3 linked regions of the Schizosaccharomyces pombe genome follow. The gene in region 3 interacts genetically with the main gene of each other region. Each region holds a gene or a part of one and is shown on either strand. Other genes may lie near its edges.

The links.
Region 1: of bqt4 (region 3) and csi1, changing one suppresses a phenotype caused by changing the other (phenotypic suppression), as found in Schizosaccharomyces pombe (one study listed by BioGRID).
Region 2: mutations in bqt4 (region 3) and lem2 are lethal when combined (synthetic lethality), as found in Schizosaccharomyces pombe (one study listed by BioGRID).

Annotation. Positions count from the first base shown.
Region 1 is NC_003423.3:3,459,560-3,470,909, reverse strand, and holds csi1 (protein Csi1), read right to left. Parts: upstream 9,573-11,350; 5' UTR 9,471-9,572; coding exon 7,869-9,470; 3' UTR 7,696-7,868; coding exon of another isoform or gene 7,489-7,695; 3' UTR 7,449-7,488; coding exon of another isoform or gene 7,400-7,448; 3' UTR 7,354-7,399; coding exon of another isoform or gene 7,118-7,353; 3' UTR 7,077-7,117; downstream 1-7,076. Other genes in the region: cullin 1 adaptor protein Pop1, read right to left, coding at 1-1,567; beta-glucosidase Psu2, read left to right, coding at 3,381-4,340; mpi1 (mannose-6-phosphate isomerase), read right to left, coding at 4,758-5,870, 5,920-6,045; 2' O-ribose methyltransferase Mrm2, read left to right, coding at 6,863-6,976, 7,026-7,076, 7,118-7,353, 7,400-7,448, 7,489-7,695; dcd1 (deoxycytidylate deaminase), read left to right, coding at 10,676-10,995, 11,188-11,350.
Region 2 is NC_003424.3:2,228,248-2,239,569, reverse strand, and holds lem2 (LEM domain nuclear inner membrane protein Heh1/Lem2), read right to left. Parts: upstream 5,293-11,322; 5' UTR 4,973-5,292; coding exon 2,906-4,972; 3' UTR 2,797-2,905; downstream 1-2,796. Other genes in the region: SPOM_SPAC18G6.12C (uncharacterized protein), read left to right, coding at 1-69; RNA polymerase I general transcription inititation factor subunit Rrn3, read left to right, coding at 775-2,574; protein Edc1, read left to right, coding at 5,483-6,421; rRNA (pseudouridine) methyltransferase Mra1, read left to right, coding at 8,158-9,237; U3 snoRNP-associated protein Utp11, read right to left, coding at 9,806-10,555. UniProt on the Schizosaccharomyces pombe protein: Nucleus inner membrane protein involved in meiosis. Plays a role in regulating nuclear envelope (NE) morphology and nuclear integrity, particularly during spindle pole body (SPB) extrusion or insertion through the NE, and perhaps during karyokinesis.
Region 3 is NC_003423.3:2,838,704-2,849,321, reverse strand, and holds bqt4 (integral nuclear inner membrane protein Bqt4), read right to left. Parts: upstream 8,489-10,618; 5' UTR 8,466-8,488; coding exon 8,425-8,465; intron 8,388-8,424; coding exon 8,356-8,387; intron 8,317-8,355; coding exon 8,217-8,316; exon of another isoform or gene 8,155-8,216; coding exon 8,101-8,154; exon of another isoform or gene 8,055-8,100; coding exon 7,008-8,054; exon of another isoform or gene 6,995-7,007; intron 6,936-6,994; coding exon 6,911-6,935; 3' UTR 6,488-6,910; downstream 1-6,487. Other genes in the region: gcv3 (glycine decarboxylase complex subunit H), read right to left, coding at 290-799; Golgi alpha-1,2-mannosyltransferase Omh1, read left to right, coding at 2,227-3,399; SPOM_SPBC19C7.11 (ClC chloride channel), read right to left, coding at 3,743-5,221, 5,261-5,694, 5,737-5,988, 6,046-6,181; endonuclease Uve1, read left to right, coding at 9,737-10,618. UniProt on the Schizosaccharomyces pombe protein: Connects telomeres to the nuclear envelop (NE) during both vegetative growth and meiosis. This connection ensures clustering of telomeres to the spindle pole body (SPB) when cells enter meiotic prophase.

The sequences.
Region 1 (11,350 bases), 620 kb from region 3:
GAGGCATTGAATTAGCATCATTTGAAGCTGGTCTGTTTTCTTTTTCCACATCATCAGTATCAGTAGTACTTTGATTGCCTTGAACTATTTTGATACAACGGATTGTTGACGTGTGTCCATAAAACACCTGTTTACATTCACCGGTTCTAAGGTCCCAGACTCTTACTGTCCTGTCTGTGGAGCCAGTAACCAAAGTATCCCCAACGTATTCAAAAGTCCAAACATCACCTTCATGCTCTTCTAAACTGCGTATCAGGACACCTGTTTTCGTGTCATATATATTAATTCTAGGACTGCAGGTGCTAACAATTATTTTGTCATCATCAAACTGAAGTTTGGTAATAAGACGAACTCCATGAATTGGGAATGAACATCGCTTAATTTTCTCCGGGGCATGGAGCCATCTTTCACGAAGATTAAAATGTCTAAAATAGACCCGCTTCATTATCGCACAGGCTGACAAAGATTGTTCTAAACACATCGTACGGATTTTACTATCAATTGAATCCCAAAAGAAACCATCTTTTAAAAAGAGACTTTTCCAAAGTTCTTCGTTGGACGATACCAACTTATACCAGTGATGCGAAACTTGCGAAACTGCACACAATGAAGGTGCATCTAAATGCGTAAGCACTAAATTTGTAATCTCAGCCGGAAATCCAGTTAAAAAGTTCTTTTGAAAGATAGGAAGCAGAATTTTGTGAATATTTTGAACAGCATGTTTTCCACATCGAGAAAGAAGATGAAAAAGTAAGTATTGACGAACACTTTCGGGTAATTTTTCGAAGGAAGAAATTAATTGTGCTAATTTCAAAACAGCATTTTTTTGAGAGCTCAAATGATTAGAAGGATGAATGCTAGGATTTTCTGAAGAAAAATCATATATGACAGGTTCATGCAAAGAATTATGTGAAGATGAAGATGAATGAGGGGGAAAAGATTGACGGGTTTTGGAATCGTTGCCGAGTAAATTAGGAGAAAAATAAGAGTAATTAACAGAATTATTTGGTGCATCAAGTGAGAATGTTGTTTCACTAGCGACTTCCTTACTGTCACAGTTGTTTGGGTAGAAAACGTTCGAGTAGTTAGTAGAAGGAAAAGTTTCATTCTTTTTATTCCCATCACTTTGAGAATTGAAGAGAAACCGCTTATTAGCATGCAAATTAGAGCTGAGACTAGAGTTACGGCGTTTAAGGCACTTTTCGCGATGCTCTGACGGCAGCTCACAACTCAAATGGGGCCGGTTAAGATCACAATGTAGATATAAAAGATTTTGCAAGTTTTCCAAATTTTCTTTATCAGATAAACATCGATTGTTAGTAAATATCATCGATTGCTGACTTCCCTTGCTATCAAATTGTAGACTAACACGACTAAGCTCCTCGGGAATTCTGGTCATTATATTATTTCCTTCCAGGAGATCTTTTTTAGTGGAACATGGAGAAAATCTCTCGACATTTGGCCGGGGAGAAGAGGAAACATCAATACTCGGTGATACCATAGTTGTCTCACCGAAAAATTCATTGGAATCTAAAACAGATAGGCTATCTTTTTTCTTCTCATTCATTTCAAGTAGTTTACAGACACTTAGTAGAAAAGTATTTGTCAAGTTCTTTTATGATGTTAGAGAACCTGGTTCAAGAATCGATACTGATGAATTTACTTAAAACAACTGCCCGTTGGGAAACATGTATATGAAATTATTTTGCAAATAGTTATCGTCTTAATGCATTAGAGCAATACTTTTTCTTGGTTTTTTTGAAGTTCAGCGAGATAGATCGTAAAGACCATAAACTCTTGGCAATGAATTTTAAATTCACTCTACGCAAGCGGAGGTGTAAGTAACACCAGAATAAGTAACAATTTTACTGTTGATTAAGAAAAGTTTTTATAGTTTATGGTAAATACGACTAAATCGCGACATAACAATAGTTCAATAAGAAAAGTTATATGACTTAGTTATGGCTCCTCAATATTATTTTTTTTTACATTATTTGCGATAGTGTTTTAATTGTATACCAGATATTAACCTCCTCAGCATTTTCAAATAAATTCTCTAAAGACAAAAACAATGAACACGTGAAGTATTCATATTATAAAATTGTCTTTTCCGTTGCGTTTTTGCAGCTAAAGAATGCAGACACAATAGTAGCTCGCGAATTTCATTACACGCCAATAAAGTTGGGAAAGAGATTACCCTCCCCTGTCATATTCTAAATGACACGGACACATATAATAATTTATTAATAAAATTTGAGCATGAGCGTAAAATGTAAAATGTCAGACTAAGATGGCGTTTCTAGTACATCATTTTCTTAGGCCGTTGAAAGAAATTTTTTGTCTCGTCAATGACATGCATCGGGTAATTTCGGCAGGCATTGGGCTATTATTCGACTTCTCTCCATTCAAAATTTGACTTAATCTCAGTATCCAAAGAAGCGTCAAATACGCTACCAAGATAAATAATTAAATTGTTATCCGTAAAAGTTCTTAGCATAGCAAACCGATAAACCGAGTGTAAACACGATATTAATTAATTAATATTATATCATATTTAATGAGCTGCAGAACATCATTTGCCGAAATGCACCGAGCCTCTTATATCTAGGATGATTTGTATGTACCAGATTACTTTCCCAAGAGATTATTAAATATATTTAATAGTATTAGGAGAAAATCAATATAACGTTGAGTCGAGCCAACGTATTTGTAAGTTAGGTATACAGGGATGTCATTAGGCTTACGTACACCGCGCAATTCAATTGCAAAAGGCCCAGGGGACCAAGAACTTCCTTATGATAAGAAAGCTAAAGCGATAAACAAAAATTAAATTACTTGGCTTGGAAATAATAATAATTTGCTTTGAAATGAATGATTGAACGCCCCGCGACCCCGGGACAGTATAAATTTTCCTGGGGTAGATCAAATTCACGCATTTAATTGGTTGAATTTATCAACTGACTTTTAAGTTCATTTTTAATTAAGTTATCAGCCAATGAATACAAAGCCGATAGCAAGGCAAGCAATGATTGGAGCGCAATAGTTGACTGTTTTGGCGCTAATTATTTCGGGTTTATGGTTAGAAATTTTCTGAAAAAATCAACGTTGAAAACTTACAGGCTTTCATGGTTAATTAGTGGCAAAACGCCACGGCTCTTAATCAAAAGATGGTGAAGTGCTTGAAAAAAGAAATGTATATAAAGCTGAGCTGATTTTTAGGGAAAAGCCGTGAGCTGAAATTAAACAATCAGAACCGCAAAAGGTAAAGACCATTATATTCTTTACCATCTTTCTTTTATTTTCTAGTATCAAGTTACTAGCATATCCTATCGTTTATAAAGTCAATCGTTAGATTCCTGTCAAATCTTTTAAATCTAAAAATGCTCTTTAACAACTTTCTTTGTTTTGCGGTTTCCGCCATTCCTTTGGTTTCAGCTATGCCTCTTGGTAATGCTCCCTATCACCATCACCATCATGCCGGTTTGAATGCTAGCAATATAACTGTTGGTGTCAATGTCACAAACACTACCGCTTTTTCAAAAAGAGACGGTGGTTTTCCTGACGGCGTATACGACTGCTCCTCTTTTCCTGATGATCAAAATGGCGTTGTCCGCCTTGATTACTTAGGTTTTGGAGGATGGTCTGGTGTTCAGAAGAATGATGGTAAATACGGAACAGCTTCTACATGCCAAGATAACACATACTGTTCCTATGCATGCAAGCCCGGAATGTCTAAGACCCAATGGCCGTCTGAGCAGCCTGACAATGGCGTTTCCGTTGGTGGTTTGTATTGCAAGAACGGTAAATTATATCTCACCCAGAAGGATAATTCTAATCTTTGTGAAGATGGAAAGGGTACTGCCTATGTTAAAAATACATTGAGTTCCAATGTCGCAATTTGCCGTACCGATTACCCCGGAACTGAGAACATGAATATCCCTACCAATATTGATGGTGGTTCAAAACAACCTCTTTCTGATGTTGATGAAGATTCATACTATAATTGGGGAGGAAAGAAGACATCCGCTCAATACTATGTTAATAAATCTGGCAGAAGTGCAGAAGATGTCTGTGTTTGGGGTAATGAGGGCGATGATTATGGCAATTGGGCTCCTATGAACTTCGGGTCTGGTTACACTGACGGCAAGACTTGGCTTTCTATGTCTTTCAATCCTTTATCATCTGCTAAACTTGATTACAATATCCGTATTAAATCTGATGGTGGGTCCCTTAGTGGTGATTGCTACTATGAAGACGGATCATTCCATGGTTCCACCGCTGACAGCAGTGGTTGTACAGTCTCTGTCACCGGAGGCAATGCCTACTTTGAGTTGTACTAAATTGCGTGTTAAAAGTGGATGCTTGGTCAAAAAAATTTGTTTATTAGAATTATTTTTGCATTCGTTTTACTTTTGTCATTCCCATTTTTATGCTTTATTTCGTTGTTGATTAGTTTTCGCATTTTTTTTCTGGTTTCATTTTTTTTATTTTTTTCATTTTTTTCATTTTTCTTCTGGATTCATTTTTTATTTTATTTTTGGGGTTCATCTTCTTCATTTCATTTTTTTGTCTATATTTCTTCTCTACATTTTGTTACATTTCTTAAAAACGCTCATTATTTATGCATTGCATCTACGAAAAAATAAATTTGTTTTTACTTAATTTTGTCCATCCTATCCAGTATCGTTAAAAATTTAAAAATTCCATGTATTGTTTTATTATAATGGTGCTGATAGTAGTAAAAAGCTGCAGAGTAACTAAATCTCACAGAATGCCTGGTAAACGACAACAGGTTCTGAAGTCGCAGAGATCGTTAATGGAAAATTTGCGGAAATAAAATAAACAAATCCAGGAGATATCGATGCTACATCTCCTTTGTCTCCATTCAATATGCCTGAACCCTCAGTAACAAGTAAAATGCTAGGGCCATTGATTCCGCGTATGCATTGTTTTTGACCAGGAGAAACCTTGGTTTGCAAAATGCTAAACTCTTCGATCGGGGGATCATATAACAGAGTTTTGCCAGATCCACAAGCTTTGGCAAATGGTACAGGTTGGGTAAGTTGGGATTTGGCATCCGCAGTCTGATAAGTGAGATTATTTACGAGAGTTTCTATGTCCTTAAACTTTGGCGTAAAGCCAAGACGGATAACGTTATCACTGGCAGCCATGCACTCAATTATATTTCCAGAAACATAAGCATGTGGATCTAAGGCACGAAGAAAAACGGCTTCTCCTGGATGTAATCGAACGTAGTTAAGAAAAGGAGTAACAAATAATCCGATGTCATCCGGAAATTGACTATTGAGATGAATAATTAAATCGCTAAATGCTTTTCCGCCGTATTCCGTTCCACCAAAGTTGTTAGCATCACTTTTTGCTAGTTGAACAAGCTGAGGAGTAAATTCTTGAATCCTTTTTTCGTCTTTGTGCATTAACTCATTAAATAAAGTTTCCAATGCTTTTCTCTCGTCTTGCTTCACGGTACCTTTAAATTGACGAACAGCTTCTTCACCGACAAATTCACGCAAAGGAGCTATACTGTCAAGGAACTGTTCGATTTGCTTTACTGGTCGAAAACCACAAAGAGCGTCGAATTCTGTCAATGCAACTGCCATTTCTGGCTTATGATTATCGTCCTTGTACTCTTTCGGATTCGTTTTGTGAAGTTGTTTACCAAGGGGTTTGTCAGGATGAGCCTGAATAGACAGCACCTTATTTATCGATAAAACTTTGAATAAAAAGGGGAGTTGTTTCCCATATTTCTTGTACACTTTTTCTCCAACGGTTTCTGGAGTTAACAACTCACTCAACGGCTTACCAGTTTGCATAACAAAGGAAGGGCCAGAAGGATGAGAACCCATCCACAACTGTATAGAAAATTCAATTAGTATAGAATTAACCAAGCCTTTTGCATACCTCAGCGTATGGGGTATTAGGATCAACCTCGAAACCGTATCCAGCCTCAGCTAATTTCGCGGCTAAAGACTCGTGACCAACTTTTCCCCATCCATAACTTTTAACATCACATTTGAGACGATACATAATTAATTAAATTCAAGATTTCTTTATAAGCCTTTATTTGGCTGTGAGAACGAATTATACGATGAACGACGGCTTATAGCGTGGATACGTGCTACTAGATGAACCTTACCTTCAAAACTAAGGAAGCACATAATGCATATGGTTATAGCCAATACTATAGTTCATTATTTTTATTTTAGCGGTAATTTATGTATATTTTTAATCATAAATAGTGAATTTTATAGATTTATTGTGTATTACTTAAGTTGCTTACTATGCAGTTTGGTATCTATTTTACAATCATAAATTGCGGTGTGTTTACTGGTAATTTATAAAATCGCGGTATGCAATATGAATAGCAGTCCTATTAATATTAGTTTACGAAGTTTATAGCCAATCATTAATATAGCTTGCAAAATTTTTAACCCGATATCTCTAGGTATCTGTGTGAATAATACGGATAGTCTTTTACAATTATCAATAAACGAATTTGCTAGTATTTTTATGGCAAATAGTGACAGGTAACGTAGCGTCATATAGCGTAAAATACAGTACTTAATCCATTCAATGCTCGTAAAGAAGCAACTGTGAAATAGATTGAGACGGCTGTACTTTGATTAGAGTTATTTTCTTCATCTGGTTTATTAAAGTAATATTTTTACGTTTTAGAAATTAAACCATCTACTAGAATAAAAAAAGCGATTAGTCCTTTTTAGACACGTTTGATGAAAGAATAAATAAAACCACTATTTTTTTAACTTAATAAATTCTGTCATACTTCAATTCATATTTTGGTAAAAATTTGATCTAGTATTCACAAACACTTTGGGTTTAGGAGATGTTTGGCTCCAAAACTCTTTTTTCTTGGGCAGCTAAGCGTTCAAAAGATTTCTATCGAAAAAAAAGTAAAATCGACAATTTCCGGTCGAGAGCAGCATACAAATTAATAGAGGTACTGTTACCACGTCGATACGATTTTGGATAATAATACTAATTGATAGTTGAATTCCAAATACAGATTTATTAATAAAGAAGATGTGGTGATTGACGTGGTATTAAATTATCTAATTATCATAAGCCTAACGTTTTTAAGGGATTTGCACCTGGATCATGGTCGCAAGTAGCAAAAAAGTTAGTTGGAAATAAAGGGAAAGTAATAGGCATTGATATTCAGCACATAGCTCCACCAGAAGGGGTATTACCCATCTACGGTGATATTCGTGATCCAAACACCCTGACTAAACTATTCGAGGCTTTACGGCTACTACATGAGCCTAATACGAATGATAGCATTGATTGTCGGGTGGTCGACGCTGTTATAAGTGATATGTAATTAAATACAGGGTCTAAAATATATTTACATCTAACATCCTAGGCTTCATAAGGCTACAGGGATTCGGATCCGGGATCATGCTCTCTCCATGGTAAATACATTTCTTGTAAATTTTCTCTGACCTACTATAGGAACTCTGTGCATCTGCGCTTCATGTTGCATTAACCTTTTTAAAATCAAATGGCTCGTTTATTTGTAAATTTTACATGGGGGATGAAGATGCCGACTTACAAAATTTGTTGAAATCTCACTTTAGGTTCGTCCAAGTGATGAAACCGAAAGCCTCTTTAAAAGAGTCACGGGAAGCGTATTTTGTTTGCTTGGAACGCAAGCCCTAAAATGTGTCAATTTTCGTTGTGAAAGGAGAACATTAATTGAAAATATTTAATATACCAAAAGGAGTCTAAAGATACTGTTGCATTAATTCCGTATTATAAAAGTTGTCAGATGAAGCGTAAACTAAAGAACAATCGCCTGCGATAGGTTTTAGGTTAAGCACTAAAGTGCCTCCTCAAGAAGTATGGTTTTTTAGTCGCTCCTGCATTTTTTCCCTTAATTTTGCAAGCGCATCCTTCGTTTCAGCAACGCCATCTCTTGTATGCTTCAGTCCTTCATGAACTGGGATATGGGAGCGCCTGAGCCCAGGAGACGAAACAGGGGGTGATGCAGCTGAATTAGAAAGGGAAGGGTGTTTATTTGCAAGTTGGTTCCACCTTGCCTTTGGAATTGGTGTAAGTTGTTCCAACGTAGCGGTATCGGCCTGTAAAGACTGGTTCTCCGACAACACATTTACTTTACTTTCATCGACACTAGCTGACTCATTGTCTTTCAAAGGCGTCGCTTTTGTAAATTTCATAGGTGATTGTATCGTTTGTGTATTGTGATAACTTTCAAATGAGGAACTAGTAGTTGCTGCATCTTTTCTAGCTCTGATAGAAAAAGGCGAATTTGAATATTCTTTCCTCCCTAGATTAGTCGGTTGACTCTCTGTCACTTTAAAATGACTTTGCAAATTATTATCAAGATAGAGATCATTTGAAGTAACTTTATCAATATTAGATGAGCTTTTTATAGTCAAATTATCAGCCTTTCCAGATGATTTGGGACTTCGAAGATTCAATAAATTTTGATTTTCTTCAGCTTCATTCAATTTTAAATTATTATTGGAGTTGAGAAAGGAAGTCCGGTTTAGTTCGTTAATTAACAGAGGTTCTTCCAAGGTATCCGAACTTTCTTCATGGATATCATCTGAATCTTCTAAGTTTTGAATTAAACCCCTTTCAGTGTTCATTGAAGCTCCTGGGTATGCATGATCGGTTTTTTTATTACTATTCGGACTATTCGACTGTCTCCCCCAATTCTTTTTTGCTCTTGCTGAACTTGAAACAAAAGACCGGTGCTGTTGGACTGGACTTTTAACGTTAGATGGTGGAGCAAAAGATGGGCTAAGACTAACTGAACGCTCACAATGAGAAATCCTTTCCTGCAGGCTTTGTAAATTTTCTTCAATACTTTTTAAACGCTCAACAAGGATGGAAAATTCAGGGTTCGTAAGCGAAGACTCATCATAACGATTATTGTGCGCTTTATTGTTGCTATCTTTCGAAATCGCTTTTAAGTTTGCTTCAAGGGAATTGAAATGAGAATCAGATAAGCTAGTAACACCTTCTAGCGATCTAGGAGCCGAATGAGATTTCGCGTCAGATTTTGGAGGTACAAATCGAAATCGCGGAGGGGGAGCGCTTGCAGGTGTTAAGTATGCCATGTCAAAAGAGTGATCTTGATTTAAATCTACCAATGGCTTAATTCGATCCTCATCTGAGATACGAATTTTAGATGCACTTAAGTGAGTAAAATTTTGTGATTGTGTACCAGCATTAGGTATTGACTCTTCATCTTTTTTTTGATCATTTAAAATATTTTTTCTTCGCTTAGGTGATAGGGAAGGCTCCTTCGATGGCCGTCGCTTTCGCTTTGAGGGTGAGTGATTCTTAACCACTGACTCACTAATTTGACCTTGTTGGCTTCGCTCCCATTCCAAATAATCGTTTTTTGTATCATTCCATAATTTCTTTAATTTTCCCAGCAGTCCAGCTGCAGGATTGAAACTCATCTCATGCCCAAATTATTTGGTGATTTAAATTCTAAATTCTTTGCAAACTGACTTCAATAATTATAGGAGTTACAAGATCGTGATTAACAATAATTTGCAACCAAAGGGTTATTAAACCTCAGGAAACTTGACAAAATTACGATCTTACCGAGCTCTACAGTACGGTCGTGAGTATTACCTAGTACACGTTAATGGCTTAATGCTTATTATGTAGTCTGTAATTAGCTTTAATGATACGTTAAATCACCAACAATCATCACTTATGTTGCTGTGAGCTCGATTATTAATTAAGTTGGTACGTGAAGTTAACCTTCTAACTTACTACTGAAGCTGCTCATAACTCAACCTCTTCCTCAGTCCAGTTGAGTTCTGTAGTGTTTTAATTTCCCGAAAACAAAAAAATTTTCCAATATCATTAAATAGGATGTTGAGAAAAAGAATATGTGCCACATATAAATATCATTGTTGAATTGCTGACTTGACAATTAATGCTAGGCCTACGATGCAATAGTAATCTAACCGTAAACATAATTTTACGAACGATTAGTATGTAATTACTGGACTTTTAGAAGAATTCTGAATATTCGCACATAAAAAATATTATTCGACAGATTCCATCGTTTCACATGAGTTTACATGAAATGCGCTCATTATCAAATTTGATGTGATGAACATTAATTAGATAAAAATGGTTTCATTGTTAGTTGAATGCGTTTGTTCCGAGTTTCTCCTTAACAATATACAGTTAATGATCTTATTGTTGTTGCTGTTGAAGTACACAGCACTTAAGTACAACTTTTGAGTGCTCTAAACTTTAGCGTGACCAGCAAAAGAGAGGTCAATACACTTAAAACCAAAAACGACTTTATTCGAATTCACTAAAAGGATTTTTTAGATTCTTGGTCCAGTACAGTGAAACGTAAAATCTGAAATATTCAAGGATTCGTGAAGATTTGGAAGCAAATAGTTTTTAATCTCATTAAATATATATTTTATTTTTTAAAAAGATTACAGATTATAGAAGCATAGTTTTACGAAATTGAAAGTTAGCATTTTCGCAACTCGTTGTTGGTATTGATAGTTAGTATCATTAGGTATGTGAGTACGTTAAAACCGATCTATCTCTAACTATTTGGGGAGATAATCAAACTGAAATACGTTTCTTAAGCTTAAGTAGCTTTGTTTGATTTATTAAGCAAATAAATATGCCAACTGTTGGTCTTACAGGGCCATTATGTAGTGGAAAAGATGCCGTTGTTGAATACCTTGAGACAAAGCATGGTTTCAATGCTATTTTTCGATTACCACAACTAAACGAGGATGGAGAATATATATATAGAACTGGCGATTTAGTCCTTGGCAGCGTTGACGATCTTATTAGCTATCTCACTCCAAGATGGCGCGAAAGATTTGTAATTAATGGAATTCATAGTCCACGTTTGTTAAGTGCATTGCTCAAACGTCCGTTCTTTTTGCTTGTATATATTGATGCCCCAATTATGCTCAGGTTCAATCGCTACAAAACGTATGTAATATTGCAATGTCAACATGTTGTTGCTAACTTTAAATTCATTGTCATTATTCTTCACGCAATGTGTTCAGTGTAAGGACCTTAATATCTTGTTAGTTTCATTCATTTCATGCTCGAAATTACACGGTTACATAAGCTCCTCATGATTAACTGAATATTGCGTGAAATAATAATGATGACATATAGTTATTCTTCTCTTGCGAATACCACACTTGAAGAATTTTGTAGTATCCAAGACGCGGCTGCATTTCAATCTGATAATGCTGGAACTCGACACCGAGCATTGGCTAATTTACTTATAAATAATGATAGCAATATTAAACTTCATCTATGGGAGAAGCTTCAAAAA
Region 2 (11,322 bases), on a different chromosome or scaffold from region 3:
GATTTAAATGCATCTTTGAGAGAGCGCCGCAGACGTTCTACTAGTAATCGAAGGAACTCTGGTATTTGAAGAAAACAATTATCACGCTTTATTTATTCTGTTTAATTGATTTTCGATCCGGTTTTATTTGGAAGATCCCTACTTTTCTTTGTTTAATATTACACTTAATTTGGTATCTACATAGTTTTTAACTTAGCATACATTAGAAATCGGTATCTATATTGCATTGTTTAGCAAAGAGCGCAATGCGCTGCATTTCAGTATATACTCAAATTTTCTTTACAAACTGTTAGCATAGTTTCTGCCAACCGCCACACATGGTTTGCTTTTACGTTGAATGAATTAATGATCACTCTTATAATTTAAATTTGTTTTATCTTACAAATTTATTTTGATTATTTTATCTGACTCATTTGAGACACCGAAAAGTTTTTGGGGTGTAAAATTCATTCGTGGGAAGTCCTGTAAATTTCTAAAAATTTAGCTTTTCGAAGCAAATTAACGGCTTAGTTTTTGGAAATTGTAAGGAAATGTTTTATTAATAAGAGAGATATAGCAATGTTTGGTTTTTTAAGCAATTGGGTCAACTTGACTTGAAACAGTTTATTTCCACATTTACTTTACTCTTAAGTTTTGGTTTAACTTTGAAACTAACTATTACAAAGTTTAGAATAACCATACGTGAATTTATCCGCTAGTGTTATTCTTATTATTTTTTTGTTTGCATCCATTCCTTTATCTGTGATTAGTGCAAGTGTTTATCTCGTCTTTACAATGCCTTCCATCATTTCCTCTACGAATCCTCAATATATTAATAAATGTGTTAACAACGGGACAATGGCATCTTCTACAAATGTTCCCGATCGTACTGTAGGTTCCAAAAGTTTTGCCTCTTCAGTTTCCAAAAATGATGGACGATTAATGCAACAAATGTTACGTGCTTTCGTCAATAAAGCTTTGGACGACAAAGCAGAAGGAAATTTTGCCGGTTATGAAGATCTTAGAAGACAGTTTGCTGCAAAAAGTGATACTAAAGATGCACCTTCCTCTCTGCAACTTCAAAACTTATTGTCGGCTTTGACGTGCAATGTTTCCAGATTGGATAGCTCTAATTCTTCTTTAGTTATGAGCGTACTAGATTCTGTTTGGGTGAGCAGAGATGAGTCCTTTGTGAGATGCTATACTCGATTTTTAGGAAATCTCATATCTGCACAATCTAATTACTTGCCGCTAGTTATGACTATGCTGATTCAGCATATGTTGTATCGGCCTGATAGTTTAGCAATCCATTATGAACATGCTCATATGGCTTTAAAATATGTGTTGGAACTTGTTCCCCGTGCGCATTCCTTCTTGTATAGTAGCATACTTGAGGAGTTTCCGTACAAGGACGAGAGCCTTTTAGCACAGATGACTTATATTTCGAACGTTTTAAGTATATGTGAATATGTACCATCAATTAAAGGTCCTGTATTGCATGCAATAATTGATAAAATTATCCAAATTGATGTGGAAATACAAGTAGAGGTTGATGATGATGATGAGGAGGAGGATGAAGTGGTAACAGATGATGATGGAACTAGCAATGCCGATTCTGAAGTTATTACAGCTTCAACGTTATATGAACGGCATACTGCTATTTCAAGTGAAATGACATCTAGCACAATATTGACTCCTCCCTCATTAACAGACACTCGTCAATTGATGCAGCAACTGGATCAGCTATTGTATACTTTATTTTCTTATTTAGATTCCAATTTAAAATCTACTAGTAGAGATCGTTACTTGGTTTATAATAGTTTGATTAAATCATTTGTGAACACGGTCCTTAAAACGTTCCGTTGTCGATATACTCAATTTTTGATATTTTGGGCTTCTCAGTTGGATCCCGAGTTTACTGATATTTTCCTTGGAGTGCTTACGGAAGTTTGTCTTGACCCATCACAACCTTATACTTTAAGATTAAGTGGTGCAATGTATATTGGGTCTTACGTTGCTAGAGCCAAAGCTTTAGAAAAAAATACAATTCAGATCATCGTTAATATGATGACTCGTTGGGTTGAAGCTTACTTAGATCAATGTGAAAACGAGCTGTCCGATGATTTACTATCTAAACACTCGGTTTTTTACGCAATTAATCAAAGTATTTTTTACATATTTTGCTTTCGTTGGCGTGAACTTTGTGTCTCTGATGAGTCTGAATCCATGGAGCCAAGACCTAACGAATGGATACCGGGCTTAGAGATACTTCATCGGTCCGTTCTTTCTCGGCTTAATCCATTGAGATACTGTTCCCCCAATATTGTACTTCAATTTGCAAAGGTTGCAAATCATCTCAATTTTATGTACGTCTATTCCATTATTGAGCAAAACAGAAAAGGAATTTTTAGAGAAGGGTTCGACACTATGGATGCCTATTTTCCCTTTGATCCTTACCGGCTTACGAAGTCTTCTATAATTGTTCAACCATTTTATAACGAATGGCAACAAATTCCAGGTTTGGATGATGACGAGGAAGAAGAAGACACAGACTACGAATCTTCAACCGTAATGTTGGGTGAATCTCCCTTTTGAATTCCTTTATTTTTTTTTAAATACCCTTTCTATGTGACATGTCCTATTTTTTCTCCGCTAATTTCTTACTCTAGACATGCCCATATTCAATCAAAAATGGTACTGGTTTTGGTTTTTATTTTAAAATAATTTATTTGGTATAACTAAGAATCACATTAATATAAGAAATACAGTTAAATTTCATCAACCTTGCAAACAAGTCCTCATTATACCAATTTTATGTTTCATTTTTAATATGTATAAGCATTCAGATAAATATATTATTAACTTACTTTTGTATTAGCTATGAAAAATGTCATAAATACAAAGCTAGAAATACAGTCGAGAATCATTATTCACGTAAAGGGGAAGTTGTATTAATAAATGAACGATCGGTTTGGAAATCCAAAGTATTTGTGCCGACCCACTCCCATACACGGGTCCATTCGCCGTCTACTTCTGATTCACGAGTTCTTACACTGCCAACTTGTTCAACACGTTCGACTATTGCTTCCCAAAGAGTTCGAGCAGTTGCTTTCGTCATATGAATTTGTTCCAATGGGCCATTTCCATGAAAGAGTATATCATGCATTTCGATTAGTGGTATAACGGGTTCTTGAGATCGAGACATTTGATAATTTGCTTTCTGTCTCTTCAAAGATTCTACACAGAATCGAGAAGCCGATGGTAGATACTTTGCTACGATACTGCGAGTACGAAAAAAATTGATGAGCTTAAAAATAACTCCTGACAACGCAAGGATTCCAAATAAAAAAACTTTGTTCCTCCAAACAAATTTTATCAGTTGCTGTTTTAAACGACACCGCAAAGGAATACCTGCCCAGCTATCGTAGCAAATTAATTTTGAATCCATGACAACTTCATTCGTTTCAGAAAGTACTGCCAAAGAAGCTTTAAATAAGTCCTCAAACATTTCAAGGCCAAGGGTTGGAGATTTTCTTTCAAGAAGCGTATCATGTAATAATCCTAACGCAAATGGTTTTGATGGGAAGGAGATATGATCAGATGATATATTAAGATTATCGGCGACATAAGGGTGCGCATTGTACGACATATTTCGTTCCAGCAAATCTGACGAGTTATTGCTACAATGCAAAATTGCATTCCAGGATCTTAATACACTTAAACATTCTTCACGAAAAATATTAACACTTTCTTCTCTAGAAGTATCACTAACGCAATACTTGGAGGGCCAAAATCCTAAACTTGAATACCATGGTTCGTAGAGGACATATCCGGGCTTGCATTCAACGTAATTTGGAGAGGGACATATTGCATTCGGAGGGCAAGTTCTACACAATGATGGAAAACTTATTCCAAGAATTGAAGCAGAACTTCCACTGGCACCCGAATCACAGAATCCTGCTGTAAACATTTTCTCCCGTAATAAAGCCAGAAAAATTGCTGCCACCACTCCTAATAAAATCATAAAAATATGCACTAAATAAGAAGAAGATATCGCGCTGATTCCAGGAAAGGCGCGCAAATTGTGAAGAAGACGATAATTGGCGTACTTAATGTCGTGAAATACTTTTTTAATAAACGACCAAAGTTTGCTTTCTTTTCGAGTCTGCTGCAAAACGTAATTTTGAAAAAGCTCGTCATCTTCCTCAGCAGAGTCTACTTCAGAATAAGGCGATGAAGATTCAGAGGGCCTTGCACTGTCAAGAGGAGCAAACTCGATATCTCGAGAGACTCGCTCAGGAACATTAGTAAAGGGTCGTTTATGTTGAAGAGGACTAGAAGTGGCTGAAGTTTGTAGACGATGTGATATTTTGGGAGACCTCAATTGTGGAGAAAAATTGTTTGAAGATGAAAGCAGCTTTAACCTCTCCGAAAATGCTGGCGAAGTATGTAAAGCAGAGCTATCCATAAATGACATAGGAACAGCTACCCTATGAGATTTATGCGAGCGAAATTTTGGTGTAGACGCGTGGGCTGGCGGAGTTTTCATAGTCAGCGATGTTTCCACATTAGGGCTCAATTCAGAATAGGACTGAAAGGTATTATTTTGAGAGACGTGCGGAGACTCTATTTTAACCGGGGTTTCAATGTTGCTAGGTTTGTCAATGAATTGTGGAGACAGAAGCGGTTCTGTTTCGTTGTGTGGCTTTTTCGTGCTTTTGGAAGGAGAGGAGGGATAAAGGTATTTAGGAGCTATTTCATCCTCGGAGCTAGACGCTTTTGAGGTGTTAGAGTTTTCCTCTTTTTGAAGATGAGACAATAAATGTTGTGGACCAGAGCTTAATTTGTTTTTCCGTATTCTATCCACCATCCTAATATACTCTATTTTTCTGGCATTCACAGGGAATGACACTCCCGATTCATGAAGGATCTTTTTCAAGTCTATGACACGAAGATTTCGCAATTCGAAGTTAGGGTCCTCCCAATTGTCCATGGTGAATAATTCAAACTGATCAAAAATGGTATAAAGCTGATATAAGCTAGTTAATTACATGAATCCTTATCTACATTAAAAAGGAAACCTGGCATAAGTTGCTGATTCGTGAACGTAATTGCAATCCCATACAAATTTATAATATTACAGCAATGAGCTATAATATACTTAGGAAATTGCTTGAATTCCACTGTTCAAACACACCTTTTCAAATTTAATAAAAGACTTCACTAAACGAAGGTAAAGCAATTTCTTATTTCTCTATCTTTGTGCCGAATCTTTGTTTTCCTTCTTTCTTTTTGCCAGTTAAAGTGGGTGGCAAATAATGGTTAAGGGAAGAAAGCTCTATAAGGAGGCATAGCGCAGCTCATTGCTTTGTGTCACCTCAGCCCAAATAACGTATATTGGGTAAGAGTGTTGCCCCCGAAGTTATCCTTAACCAACATCAATCACTAAGAATACAGAATCCATGATCATTAGGGATTACTCGAATTTTGACTATAGTAAAAAATGCAAAAAGACATTGGACGTAGATTTCAACGTAATAAGAAGAAAATTAATTCTAAACCGGGCGGAGCAATGGTTGCTTCCAGCGATGTCGAGTTCAGTTTAGATGGAATGTCGATTATGCCCCAACGAGATGGTAATCTCCAGATACCTAACTTTGTGAAACCCAAGAGTACTTTTGCTACTTCTAACATTGGTGAAAGCAATGGTAAGCGAAATGGCGATAAAGTACGCGGGAATCGACGCTCTAAATCTGGTCACAGTTCGTATGCTGGCTCTCGTATCTCAGGTGGCAATTCTAATTCCCACCTTCCTTCTGGTGTTGCTTCGGCTCCTGCTGGCTTAGGAATTGATAAGGTTGCCGTCGGAGAAGTTGATTCTCATTTGAAGTCTGTATCTTCTTACGTTTCCAATTCTTCCGGTGCTGATCGATCTTTTTCTTCGAATTCCTCTTCCGATACTAATTCCATTCTTTACGCCGGTCCTACATTTACTCATTCTCCGGCCGCTTCTAATCTTCCCATCCCTACGTTCTTACACTCTCCCGTTTCCGAAAAGGCTGAATGGCAACCTCCTACTGGTAGTGTGAACTCAAACATGCCTTTCCAGTTTCATCAATCTTCCTCTGTTCCTTCAACCCCATCCGAAGTTGCCATGGGTCATAATTTTTGTCCGATGTCTCGTAACGATCCCTCATTGCAGAGTATTCAACAGACGAATGGATTTTACAGTGGACACAATTCTCCTCATACTAACTATTCAGCTTCCACTCCTTCTTTTAATCACTTCAATGCTGCCGGCCATCCCACTGGTAACATTACCCCTACTTTGAATTCCCCTAATAACGGCATTCATTGTCATTCTACTTCTGCCCTAGACTTATTGTTTCATCGCGATCGTGAACAGCGCTTGTTCCGTATGCTGCGTCAAGGAAGTGCATAGTTTCATTGGATGCTTATTTATGTCTAAGGACATATCACCTTTTTAAGCCTCGTGTTCTGTTCTAACTATTCCACTTTTTTGTTTCACCTTCTTTCGTCTCCGCGTTTATCTACACGTGTTCGTTGTAGCACTATTTATTTGAACATTGGCCAAGAGAATTTATCATAGTCTAGTATTTTTGCTAGTATTATGACTTTCTTACTATCACCCTATGTACCTCTGTCTTTCTGTTTTTTTGGATTATAGAATTTAGCTCTCTATATGGGTTAATTTTGTTTCCTTCGCTTTTGGTTTTTAGAGGATTTCATACAAAAGCTACTGAATTCCTTTTCTAACGGCTTATAGTTAAAAGAAATGCCAACGTTTTTAATGGATTTCTTGGATTTGAAATCTTGATTTTTATTGACTAGATTTCCTTAACTTCATCTTATTCCTTGTTAGTTAATTGAGCGAGCAATTCATTTATAATATGGAAATGTTCGTCAATGACTATTTATCGAAAATGTGCCTCGTTTACTTTTCGATTTGTATGCTTAGAATGGGCATTTGTTACCTTTTTTATGAGCGTTGGGTGTTATGATCTGCATATTGCATTAATTTTATTCTGGCTAGTTTTTATTATGCTATTAATAATCTCGTTGTGCTTTTATCGAGATTTGTTTGAAACTTGTTTCACCGGTCTCGTACATTTTTTTCTCTTGTGTTTTTTTCTTTTAATTTTCCTAATTATTACTGACGTGTTGCCTATTGCTTTGCGATGACAGTACATCTTATTTTCCTGTGTCGAGGATTATAGTTATAATCTTCTTTTCCTCTCATGAACTTGGCTTTGGTTGCCAACCTTTTAAACTTTCGTCCATGATATACATGATGTTTGCTAATATAAGTGATATTTATGTGGTCACCTTTTTTGGCGAATGTTGTAACCTATCTTCTACGCTCAAGGAGTACATGCAATGTGCTTTATGCTTTTTTTTTTTTGAATGTTTGCAATTTTCAAGCCCTCGGTTTTTGAGCTTTCATTGCTAGTCAAGATAGTCAACTTATCGTTGATTATAATATCTTTCACTCGCAAATCGTTTTTACGTAAAGACTGAATTACGGCAACATTTATTGCTCTTATTTGTAAATAGTTTTGGAATCATTTCTTTTTAAAACTTTAAATTTATCTCTTTCCTTCATTGTTTACAAATAATGTTGCATTAAGTGGTGATTTAGTTTTTCTAATATAAACACATATTTCCGTCACTGATGTGTCGCGTTTGTGTATTTATCCACCTGATATGTGCAACAGTATTAGAAGGCACGGTTTTTCTGTGTGTTGACGATACCTGTTTACACATTCCTTTTAATCCACTTCCTTTACTTCTTTTCCGTTTTTTTTTTATTTTTATTTTTATTTTTTTTTTTTTTGCTGAAGATGGACTTATATTACCTGCATTTTTTTAGTTAATATAGAATTCATTGAAAACAAATTTTCGGCGTGTGTAGATTTTTTATAATTTTTTTGTTGATTTAGATAAGTCATTGTTTTGTTCAGCTCAATGCGCGAGTGATATGTTTGGTTTTACACTTGTTGGTTTAAGCGGATCGTAAGTTCGTAAATATGCGTTATCTTGTTTAAGCAAGGTAGGTTAGATCTGATAGTTATTTGTAGCTACCACCAAAAGCAAATTTCTCAAGCCATTATTTTTTGTCGAAACCCAATATCTGGTAGACTAGCTTTTTCATCATTCATGCCTACTTATTCCAAAAGGAAGTCTAGAGGCTCTTTAGAGGTTTCTGAGAAAACCAATCAACCCAAATTCATAAAGAGAAGTCAATCGAGTGAAACAATAACGTCAGGTGAAACTGCTAGTGAATTGATGCAAGATGAAAAGGAGCAGAGTAATGGTGCAGTAGGTTCTATTGAAGATGAAGAATTACAACGACTTCGTGAGAATCAAGCTTCTGTTGAAGCTCTTTCGAAAAAGCCAGAGTCTATCGATCGAGAGTTGGGTGTTGAGGCTTTAGAAATAGATAATGTAGTAAAGTCAGATGAAGAAAAGGAGGATCCCAATGGTGCTTCTTCCAAAACCGTCAAAGCTCGTCCACTTCCTGCAGGGTCGGTTCATCGTGTTACTACCCATATGGCGCCAATACCAGCGAGGTCAATTGGTTCTCATGATACTACAACACAGCGTTTGATTGTCGTATTGGACCAAGCATGTTTGGAAATTTATAAAGTTGGCAAGGCTAAGGATGCAAAATATCAACTTCTAAATTGCGATGATCATCAAGGTATTTTAAAAAAGTTAAACCGTAACATTGCTCAAGCGCGTCCTGATATTACTCATCAATGCTTATTGACTCTTTTGGATTCTCCACTGAATAAGGCAGGTCGTCTTCAAGTGTACATTCACACAGCTAAGAAAGTTTTGATTGAAGTGAATCCCTCTGTTCGTATTCCTAGAACTTTCAAACGTTTTTCCGGTTTGATGGTGCAGCTTCTTCACAAGCTCTCTATTCGTAGTGTGAATGGCAATGAAAAGCTTCTAAAGGTGATCAAAAATCCAGTTACAGACTACCTTCCTCCGAACTGTCGAAAGGCAACATTATCTTTTGATGCTCCTACTGTTCCTCCTCGCAAGTATCTTGAGACTTTACAGCCCAACCAATCGGTTTGTATTGCAATTGGTGCTATGGCTCATGGTCCGGACGATTTTTCGGATGGTTGGGTTGACGAAAAAATCAGTATTAGTGACTACCCTCTGAGTGCAAGTATTGCTTGCTCTAAATTTCTTCATTCTATGGAAGACTTTCTAGGAATTGTATAATTATTAAGGTAAAAATTTTTGCATTGTCTTCATTGTTATTCAGCTTATATCCTGTGCTATAGATATTCACTTTTTGATATAGCTTGAATTTTTTGGTACGTTTCGTACTTTACATTTTCTTTAGAGAGTATTAGAATAAAATAACAACTATAATTCTAGCTTCTGCAATTACAAAAAGAAAGGAAACAATTTATCACACTACAAGGCATTGAATTAAACCATTCCATACACTTTTAAAGTTTGGGAATTACAACCTAAGACAAACTCTTAATACTCACCGATAAAATAATTCGGTAATATTGAATGACTCACAACACTATGAAGCTCAATATGAGAAATAGATGGATATTTGCTTAGAATTAGACAGATGATTAAACCAAATTATTCATAAATAAGCAATCCATTCGTTAAAAATTCCAAAACCTAAGTACATTCATACTAAATAGAGAAAATGATAAATAACAAAAAAGGTACAACTAAATGAAAGAAACGAAATAACAACCAGTAAATCACAAACACAACAAACTGAAAACAGTTCCTCAATTATGTTAGGAGCAATTTAAGGAAATTATCGTTTTCTCTCATTCCTCCACTTGTATACCGGTTTTCCGTTTACGACCTTCTTTTTCTGACGGCCTCCTTTTCCCTGTAAAAGTCTATCAAGCTCGACACGTTCTTCAGCAGCCGCCAATTTTTTGTCGCGTTTCTGGCGCAAAAGAAGCTCGGTCGCCGCCTTTTCTTTTAATTTTGAGTGCAATTTTCCAGAAAAAGGCTGGTTTGTCAGTTCATTGTTTTCAATTTGATCTTTCTTTACACGATTTTCGGTTCGACCAACCAGATCATCTGTAGTTTGGAAAAATTCAGCTGGGTTAAAACTTTTTGCCTCTTTAACATTGTCTACGAAGATGGTGTGCTTCCTGGATTCATTTTTATTCCGATGAGCTCCCACAGTATGCATTTGTTGTTCCAAATGATCAATTTTAGCACGTTCAACATTGCGATGATGCCGAATCCAGCCAATGTCTTGAGTTTTCAAAATTTTGATTGTGTCCATATCGATGGTTGAATCCTCGCGCTGTTCAAGGGGTACTCCATTTTTGGTCTTTTTGTGTGTCATTTCATGATAAAACTCATCAGGGTTTCTTTCAAGGGCTTTTTCACGAAGACGTTTTAACTTCTTTTGCTTTGTCTTATAATCCTGAGCACGCTGCGCATAATCCTTTCGTTTCTCTAGCAAACCCCATTTTCGTCTTTCAAAAGGCTGAGCTCTTTCTCGATGATTTTTCCTTTGACCTGCATTTTTAAAAGACGAAGACATCTTTAAAAAAGTTATGGTTAATGTTTGGCTGTTTGTCAAAGAACCGAATTATTGGCTTTTAGCAGATTCGCCTCTGCAAAATATTTGTGTTTAGGGCACTACAAGTGTTAGCGTGCAATGTGCTCAGGACGTTAAGATACGCTATTACCCCCTTGGCTAGTGCTTGTATTGTTTACGATTTGAAGTTATACTGTTAATACTCTATAGATATAATCAAATTTTTTAGAAAGAGTCTTTGGCTGAATGGTGGCTTGTTAGCTTTCTAGTAGAATTGGAAAGTTTACTGTTAATGTGCAGCCCATATCTATCAGTTTAGCAATACTTATTATTAAAAAATAATTGTCTTAACTTCTCTATAAAACTTTTTATTCATTGATTTATTCTGCTCAAAAGGAACGGAAGCCTCAAGATAATTTATTAATTACTGAAAAATAAAAAATAAGGAAAGTAAGAGCAACGCATTAGGACTAATCGCTATGCTGTCGTTAACATTAACTGTCATCGATATCTCACTACATTACACATTACTTAAGTTTAATGTCCTTAATCTTATCCATTACGATGCCGTCGTTCCCAATGTATGTGCTTGTGGTTGACATAACTCAATTGAACAAAAAGTGCATCTCTTTGTTCTGTAATTCCACTGAATTGGTAAATAATGTTAAGCATTGTTATACCGATTATCCTTCAGTATGGCTTTATTTTAAAAAAAGATTTTGTTAAATAGTCATCGTAGTTTACTGTATCCTCAAAGCAGTTATAGATGC
Region 3 (10,618 bases):
CAAAAAAAGAAGAAAGCGATGTTATGACTCTTCAGTTGAAGGAAGAGGGTATTTAGAGTGCAACAAATAAAATTGTCTTAAAAGCCCATGATGAAATGGTCTCAAAGACTATTGAAAAGCTGTAACTGAGTTATTGCTTTATTCTTTCATATATGAAAAAACAAAACAACCAAAACCAGTAAAGTTTGATGAATATGTAAATCAATCACAAAAAATTGAAGTTGTAATTAATACATAAACCAGCTAGAACAAACTTCGTAGGTCATACGGAATTTTAACATAACCATATTTAATGGGACGCGTCTTCTTCCTTGCAAAATTGAGCGTAACTTTCATCATTTAATAGTGATTTCAATTCGTCAGGTGATGATAACTTGATTTTGCAAATCCAACCTTCTTCCTCGGGAGACGAGCTCACCTTATCTGGTGAATCACCAAGAGATTCATTGATAGAAGTAACTGTACCAGACACTGGAGAATATACATCACTAGCCGACTTGACTGACTCAACAGCACCGATGCCATCACCTACACTCACGGTAGTCTCAGGTTCTGGCAATTCAACGAATACAACTTCACCAAGAGCATTCGCAGCATAAGAGGTAATTCCTACAGTTCCAACATCTCCATCGACTTTAACCCATTCATGTTCCTTAGTAAAGTGTTTAGTTGAGTAATATTTTACCGCGCTCCATTTCATGGATAAAGTAGGAGCTGCTGCCTTCAAACAGAAACCGGTCTTTACAGATGAGGTAAGAGAGGGAAGGAAACCAGAGCGAAGGGCAGAACGAGCTAACATGTTAGGACTTGCAAATTTTATTCGTAGCTAAAAAGGATGGTAAGTCGTTAACTTCGTAGAGCAGACAAATAATGCAATAACGAAACCGCGCGATGTATCAGTGCTTTATAGCGTCCTGCGTTGTACTCTGGCATATTTAAAATGTATACAAGTACAAATTCACTAACTTGTTTTAAGATACGTTATTTCCTATCTATCGTACTAGTAAGCTAACTCAGTTGCCAATTCTAATTAACTATAACAGTATATACGTCTCTCTATAGATGTATAAGAAAATATACCGTTATTGCTATAAGGAATTACGCTTGTATGTTGATTTTATTAATGAATCAGTTCTGTTCCTCTTAAGTAAAAGCAATATTTGCATAGGTTAATAAGTCTACTTGCTTGTTCACTTAACCTTACAATAATTATGTTTCTTCTTTCAATTTTGAAAAACGTAATTGCTTGACTTAGCTTTAGACAACTTGAACGTGCATTCAATAAATTTGCCTACCCTATAATATCTGGGAGATATATATTAACAAATATGTAAGGCAAGTAGTTGCTACATTACCGTTTTTCTTTTTGAACTAGCTGATAAAATCTTTAAAGTCCTAGAGGAAAGGTAATCCTAGTTAACCATAACTGTCAAATGTACAATGCTAAAAACAAAGTATTATTACAGACATCTGACGTTACGATCTGCAATACTGGTGTAAGCGAAACTTCTCCATCTAGTTGAAATGTACAATGATAGTACTGAAAATTTTTGATTTATAGCCTTTAACCTATGAACAGTCAGAGGAATTTAGAAAAAAAAAATTTTTTTCAGAAATGTTAACTTTTTATTCAACTTGATTTCTAGCCTAGTTTTTTGCTAAAATAATGTTATTTAAGTATGTATAATAAATAATTGCTAGACTGTAAAACTCAAAGAATCGATCGGTCTAATTTTACTTTGGACAACTCAATAACGTAAATACTGTAACTGTGCCTGCACCATTCTCACTCAGCCACCACCATTAATTGATAAAAGCTTGCTCACTATTAGAATTTCCTTATAACCAACATAGAGAAATTCTTTTTAATTTTCTACTTATACTTTTTGAGTAACATAGCAATCACTTCATTTACTGACTGGTGCTTGGACTTATATATTAGCTTTGTAGAGTTACTACTATCAAAGTAGTTACATTTAATAATTTGCATAGGATTCAATTGTTTCCTTCTCCAGTGTACTTTTAGTTCACATTCGGTTATTTATCTATTGGTTTATTGGAAGCCATATTCGAAGTACTATAGTGAAAATCAAAACTTGCAATTTCACTGGTTTTCCTTCGGCTGTTTATTTCATTTTTTTGTACTAGAAGAATAACGGTCTCTTTAAAGACTTTTTACCCGACTTACAGAATCTATAAATATAGCATTTCTATTTTTAATGCAAAATGGTTCGCTTGCCAAGAAAGTTCAAACGTGTTTTACTTTTAGTGGTATTACTTACATTGGTTGTATTTGTACGTTTCAAAAAGCAATACATCCCAACTATCAGTGTATTTGAGGGCAGTCTGATTGACAATCGAGATACTCTTTCGTATTTCAATATTTCTAATCTAGAGCCCTCAGAACGCTCCGAATGGCTTCCAAATAAACGGGTTAATGCTGCCTTTGTTACGTTGGCAAGAAATGAAGATTTGAATGATTTACTTAAATCAATCCGAAAACTTGAGAAGACTTTCAATCATAAATATCATTATGGATGGGTTTTCCTTAACAATGAGGAGTTCTCTGACGAATTTAAGGAGCATGTTATTGAAGCGGTCTCTGGCAAATGTGAATTTGGTTTGGTACCTCAGGAACAATGGAGCATTCCGGAATATATTGACCAAGACAAAATGCATGAAAATTGGAAAAAACTTCAAGAATTAGGAATTCTTTATGCTGACAAAGAATCTTATCGTCACATGTGTCGCTTTGAGTCTGGTTTCTTTTATCGTCATCCTCTTGTTCAGAAGTACGAATATTATTGGAGAGTTGAACCTAGTGTGGATTTCTTTTGCGACCTCGATTTCGATCCATTTGCTTATATGAAGGAAAATAACAAGGCGTATGCATTCACTATCACTGTAACTGAATATTCAGAAACAATTCCTTCTCTTTGGCCCTCTACCAAAGAATTCATCAAAATGCACCCTAATGCTCTTCATCCTAATAATGCTCTAAACTTCATATCTAATGATGATGGGGAAACTTATAACGGATGTCATTTTTGGACTAATTTTGAAATTGCGAAAGTTGATTTTTGGGAAAGTGAAGTTTATAGTAAATATTTTGACTACCTTGATAAAAGTGGTAATTTCTTCTATGAGCGTTGGGGTGATGCTCCAGTTCATAGCATTGCTGTTTCGTTGTTCGCTGATCGTGACAATATCCATTTTTTCAATGAGATTGGCTATTGGCATCCTGGTAGCGGTCATTGTCCTTTGGATGATGCTACACGCGCTAAATGCGACTGTGATCCTTATGAATCCATTGATTATAATGGATGGAGCTGTCTAGATAAATTCTATACCGCATTTGAAATGCCTTTCCCCGAAAACTGGTCTTTTTATAGCCATTAATTCTTTCACATGGCTTAAAATGTCAGATTTGCTTTAAAAAGCTCAGTTTGTTTTTAAGTCGCAATTTATGCTTTCCATTTATTTTTATTTACTTCGTCATTTCTCTTCTCATTTTTTTTGAAAAGCTTTCAACGGTTAATTGGTTTGCTATTACTTTATGAGCCTACTTTTTTCATTTTGTACCGTATATTTCTTTACACCTTCTGATAGACTATGTCTTCCGAAATTAACTTCGTTATCGATTTTAGTCACTTTCGTTTATACAGTTCTTGCTTTCGTACTATTGAAGCATCAACTTTTTAGCCATACTTAATTCTCCCTTCAATGAAACTATTACATTTTATCATTCTATGTTTAATTTTAAGGGCTTTAGTTCTATGTTTTCATAGCTGTCGTTGATCCTTTCTGTAGAAACTGCACGATGACGATTAGCAGGATTCACTAAATCATTATCTTCTTGGTAATATTTGGATGCAAGTAATAAATCCTTTTTTGAGATTAAGCCAACTAAATTTCCGTCTTTTTCGATAAAAATCACACTTGGACTTAAGACTTCGAATAAAACAGCGACATTTGCAATGCTCTGCGTATGTAATACAGAAATAGGGTTCACATCCATATACGCTGAAAGATCTATTCTATCTGATTCACCGAATTTAGAGGACTTACTATCGCCAACTGAATCAACCTTTCCGAAACACAACTGCTGATCAAAAGTAAATGAAGGCTCTAGTTTTGCAGCCTCAAAAGAACTCTTCAGTGATGATTTCTTAAGATAGCCTATTAAATAATTAGATCGTGAATCTAAAACAACAGGATATCCGCTAAAGTCGTAACCTTCCATCATTCCTAACAGCTTTCTCCATGTAAATCCGATACTAGGAATGGTTATTAAATTGCTAGCCATCACTTCAGTAATGGGTATATTTATGGTATTGGAGCTATTAATGGATTTTTCTGGTTCAAGTAAGGGTAATCCATTAATCTCAATGCTACGATCAGCTATACCTGTTTTTCCCAGCATATTGCCAATGGAATTTGCAAGTGCCACGACAAGTACGGTAGGTAATATGAAGTTTAAGGCACCTGTTAATTCAAACATAATAACAACGATCGTGACCGTCAAATGCATTATACCGCTGAGAGAAGCTGCTGCTCCAAGGAGCGCATAGGTACCTGGAGTGATACAGCTTTCAGAACCATGACAAGCTAAGAATAAAACTGAGTTTGGAAACCTTTGATAAATCATCTCTGCTATCAAACCAATCATATAGCCAAACGAGGCACCTACCGCCATAGAAGGAACAAAGATGCCAGCAGGAACCTTGGCTCCGTACGAGAAGGTAACAAATATTGTTCTTGCAAATGTAGCAATCAAAAGCAAAATAGTATTTTTAGTCCTTAGAGAAGGGTCACAAAGATTAATTAACTCAGGTGAGCTACTTGACTTACATTCTTGGAAAAGCAATTCCATCCCAAGGGTCATGTCCAAACGTAACCAAGGATTTAAGAAACTTACCAAGGATGTTATTACGGTGACAAAAGCAGCATCGAGAACACCCCATCGAGACAAGTATTTTTTGCGTAGTTTTTGAATTAAGAAAAATAAGCGCATTACAAATTCACCGTATAAACCTCCAAAAATTCCTAGAAAACAAAAAAAAAGAAGCTCAAAAAAATGCCAGGATCCAGAGTAGCGAACCTCAAATAAAACAACTTGCCCTGTACGAAATGGATTTAGCATATGCAAAACACCAACGGCCGATAAACAACAGAAAAATGAATATACTATCATTTTTGGGTCATAACCACCAGACATTTCCTTAAAAGAATTAGTCAAAATCTCTATAAACTTTCCTACCTCAATACCGAAAAGCACACCTCCAATAGGGGATCCAAATGCAACAGCGACTCCGGAAGCAGCAGAAGCAACACAAATATCCCTATATCTAATAGATCCTTCCCTGGCATATTTGAATATCTTAGATATATTATGCCCGATGGTAGTAGCTAAATGTACACTGGGTCCCTCCTTCCCAACGGAAAGACCACTAGCGATGGCTAATGGCAAACCAACGCATTTTACCAACATAACACGAAAAGATAAGAAACTATCTCTTAAAAAACCGCTTATGATACATTTAATCTCTGAGATTCCACTACCAGCTGCTAAAGGAGCAACATCTCTTACCATAATCGCAGCACATAACACAAAAAGTAAAGCGAAGGCCGTGTATATAAGGTAATTTAGGGAAAACTTGTAAGTCCAGGGTTTCCATGCAGTACACGAGGAACCTTGAAACGTTAGATCATTGTACAAGTCATGTTTGAACATACCCATAGTTTCGCTATACCAACAGCAGAATTTCTCATTGTAATACCAATGACTAGTACAATATCCCCTTCGTATGTCCGATAGCCAAGAGGTAACTATGTCAAGCATATAAGCCGCAAACCCAACTGTTGTTCCTATGATACTGAGAATAAACCATGAATAACCAACATTCCATATTCTCCACAACTTGGACCAACGGCTTTGATCAATTACGTTTTCTTCATTTTGCTCGTTAATTATTTCATTAACTCTGTCTTTAAAAGTTGTCAGTAAATAGTAGTCAAATGCTTTCGAAGCTTGAAAAACCATACCGTCCGTTTCAAAATTATCAATACCGGAACCTTCTCTATTAAAAAAATATTTTTTTTTCCTTTCATTTTCATCCAAAGATCGACGTTCCGCCTGATCAAAAGAACTTGAGGAATCTGCTCTCTTTTGAGAGGACATTGATGATATAATCTAATGTGGAGAATATCAGAATTGAAGAAAATGCTCTTGTTTTTCTCCTTTGTATATCAAAAATTGATCACTAGCATTTATTATTGTATGGTAGGCAAATCGCAAGCATTAATTGCACTTTTCCAAAACTTTGTCCTCAACCTTGAATATAGTATGTTAAGGGTGTAAACCGAGCGAATTTTATTACTTATGAAGTAAGAAATATTGAAGTTGGAATATAAACAATGCACATTTGTAATATCTTCATAGTAAAAGAAGATTCTATTTTCGACTCTCTTTAGTTTTCTATAGTAGTTAGTTATTCGTTAGTCGTACAAATGTTACTTTTTGCTATTTTGCTAGATAAGTTTAAAATAGGAAAATTTAATGAAACAAAACTAAAGCAAAGTACAGTAATCAATATAACTTGGAAAAATCACATTCCGCAATAAATTGGAAACAATACACTTCCCAGGACTAAAACAACTTCATATAAGTGATAAAACATTAAGATAACCAAATAGTGCACTAGAATCAATCGGAAATTAAGTTATTTCAGCCCTAAATCAATCTGAAGCAGGTCTCCAATCCCAAATCATAATCGAAAGTAAGTAAAAAGTCATCAAGTCAATTGATTTTCACATTAAACACGAAAAACTACATCAACAAATTAAAGCACATATGTCACATTAAATTCTAACATCCAGTAGTTTCAAAATGGTAAAGGGCCCTATTAAATTAAAATAGAAAAGGTAAAATTGCGCTGCGAAAGATAGTTAGTAAATGATTTTAAATCCAGGGAAAAGACCAATTATCACAATCATTGAATACTTACCCTACACCCAAACCAATAGCAATACCACCAAGTGCTCTGACTTTCCGCTTTTCATAGTAAACTTCGCTTTCCAGTTTGGTGATACGCGACCTTTTCACAGGTACCATAGCATTGTAATCCTCGTTTTCCTCAAAATCCTCTCTACTTCTCTTCTTTGACTTTGGAGAGGATCGAATGGAAGATTTCAAAGTATCCCCAATGCTCTTTTCCAAATTCTCGAACTTCTTTTCCAACTTTCCGACAGGTTTTCTTACTTGGCTTGCAACACCAGTTACACCTTTGTTAACTTGATTAGCGACACCATTCATGCCTTTGTTGACCTGGCTTGCAACACCATTCACGCCCTTGTTAACTTGACTGGCAACATCGGTCATGCCTCTGTTAACTTGACTGGCAACGTCAGTCATGCCCTTATTGACACTTGACCTAATCTTTCCAAGAAGAGAAGGCTTGATAGGTGTCTTAATCTTTCTATCTTGGATATCAGATGTTTTTTCCTCCTCCTCAGAGGGTTGATCTTTAGAGGTTGATCCTTTTGCTTTATCATCCGAAGAAGAGGGTTGACCTACTTTTTCAGTAGAACTACCGCCTTCCTGCTTCTTGATTTCTGGCTCTTTCTTCTCAGACTTAATTTCATCCTTCGTTTCATTCTCTTCGGAATGTATTTCCTTGTCTTCTTCTTTATTATCATGTTGGAGGATTGTCTTTTTGGAATTCTCCAGATGTTCAGCAAGACGCTGACGTGTGCGCCTAGCAACAGAAGTGGTAGTGGCAGATGTCGAAGATTCAGGTTCCCCCTCAGATGTCTCTGATTTCTGCGCAGTGGGGCGTGAAGGAGTCGCATAAGTTGAAGGAGTGGAGGATGCCTCTAACAAGGCGTTAATAAACGGGGTCATGCTGTAGTCTTTGGCAAGAGCCAAGGCATCTGCAGGAGGCACCCATAGTCCAGCAACACGTTTGTCTTCAATTGGGTTTAAATTATCACGAATCCATCTCATTTCCAAGTCTTCTTCTTCTTGGGTAGCCTTAGGGAAAGCTGAACGAAACCTAATCGGGTTTAGATTTTTAGAAAAAGATATGAAAAAACGCTTACATTGACGTAGCACTAATGCTTGAATCCTTTGCCATCCTCATAAGAAAGTGAGGTCTATATTTATATACATCATTAGTATTTTTCCAAAAACAACACTGCAAAAAAAAGATAATTACACTTTAGATTCCGGATTTGTACACTTGAGACGAACAAAAGTAGCTGGTCCATCAGGAAATTCTATTACCTGAGCGCGACACTTTGGGATTAATGGTGTATCTGCTATATTAGTTTCACGTAATTTCGGGAAGCGCGTACGGTCAAGTGTATCGTCTTTATAGAGAGGGTTTCTAATATCAATTAGTCGTTTTCTTTAAATATACGAACCTTTCAGCAGGTAAAGACCTGCTTTTCTCATTCTCAGTCATGGTATTCAATTAAGGGGAAAGGTAACAATTAATCGCCGTCGTCGACGTTTGTATAATTCCTCTCTTACAACGTTTATGTAATAGCTGATTGTATAGAGCAATAGTGGTGCTACCTTAAATGATAATATCGAGTGATGCTAGGACGTACTTCGTTATAAACTATGTGCAAAGCAAGAATTACTAATTCTTTAAACACCTCGAGGTCATGTATAGTCGATGCTTATGCTGAAATGTAATGTTAATATTGTTTATTTGAAGATTCAATGTGGTTCCAATTTTTTACGCTTTTCTGTTGGGATACAAACTTAAGGAAAATATTCACACGCGGGCAGCACGCTGCCAAATGTTAAATATAAGAAGCGCTGATCATTTATTTCTGCTAGAAGTTTGTTTTGTCAATCGATCAGCCAGGTCGGCAAAAACGATGCGGCAGTAAGAAGCGTTCTTCATGCTACTGGTTGTAATAGTATTTGCAGAAAAAACCAATCGTTTCGCTGATGCAGCTATCTACGGTTCTAAAGATATACTGTATTTTATCGTAAACAATTCGCTTCGTTTACTCTACCTACATTGCGATTTCGCAATGATGGCTTCTCAACCAACTCATTAATGCTGATGGTATTAAATCTATTGTGAATTACACGGTAATTGTTTGTATATTTTTAAAGATGTCCATGTCAGCAGAAAGCAGCATTAAGACGGTTCATAATACAATATAAATGACCCGAATCCGCCTACTTCTGCTTCCCATACACACATATGCTACAGATGGTAAAATAAATTGTCGCGACTCCTTGACTTGGCCAAATTTTCATTTCAAATGTTTTTTCCTATCTGCTGTTTTTTTGATTGTTCAACTGAATCTGCAATTATTAAAGAGAAAGCAACACAATCTTTTTACTTAACATTGTATTGCTAAACTAAGCTCGATTTGAGAAACCAAAATTTCCTCGTAAAAGCAGTCCTATCTACACTGAACAATAACTGTCAAAAGTTGAATCCCTTGAGCATCAGTAATCTCATGGCCTTCCAATAAAATCATAGCGAATTTTGACGTAACAATGATACAAAACCATTTTTGGTTTACTGGGAATGAAAGAAGATTTGTCTTCACACTCGTTGATTTTGACTAGTATTGAGTCTCAATCACTTCTTGTCGATATCTCTTTTCACTTACAAGATAATAGTTGTAGGGATATAAGCAAGTTTGCGAAGGGCTTATTTCCTTCTAAATAATGTCATATTGATACTAAAATCGTTTTCATTTTTTAATGCTTAGGCTATTGAAACGAAATATTCAAATCTCTAAACGCATTGTTTTCACCATATTAAAACAAAAGGCATTTAAAGGTAATCATCCTTGTGTACCGTCGGTTTGTACCATTACTTACTCTCGTTTTCATTGTTTACCCGATACCCTTAAAAGTTTACTTCCAATGAGCTCAAAAACCACACTCTCAATGTTACCGCAAGTTAATATCGGTGCGAATTCATTCTCTGCCGAAACACCAGTCGACTTAAAAAAAGAAAATGAGACTGAGTTAGCTAATATCAGTGGACCTCACAAAAAAAGTACTTCTACGTCTACACGAAAGAGGGCACGTAGCAGTAAAAAGAAAGCGACAGATTCTGTTTCCGATAAAATTGATGAGTCTGTTGCGTCCTATGATTCTTCAACTCATCTTAGGCGATCGTCGAGATCAAAAAAACCGGTCAACTACAATTCCTCGTCAGAATCCGAATCGGAGGAGCAAATTAGTAAAGCTACTAAAAAAGTTAAACAAAAAGAGGAAGAGGAGTATGTTGAAGAAGTCGACGAAAAGTCTCTTAAAAATGAAAGTAGCTCTGACGAGTTCGAACCGGTTGTGCCGGAACAGTTGGAAACTCCAATTTCTAAACGAAGACGGTCTCGTTCTTCTGCAAAAAATTTAGAAAAAGAATCTACAATGAATCTTGATGATCATGCTCCACGAGAGATGTTTGATTGTTTGGACAAACCCATACCCTGGCGAGGACGATTGGGGTATGCTTGTTTGAATACTATTTTAAGGTCAATGAAGGAGAGGGTTTTTTGTTCACGCACCTGCCGAATTACAACCATTCAACGTGATGGGCTCGAAAGTGTCAAGCAGCTAGGTACGCAAAATGTTTTA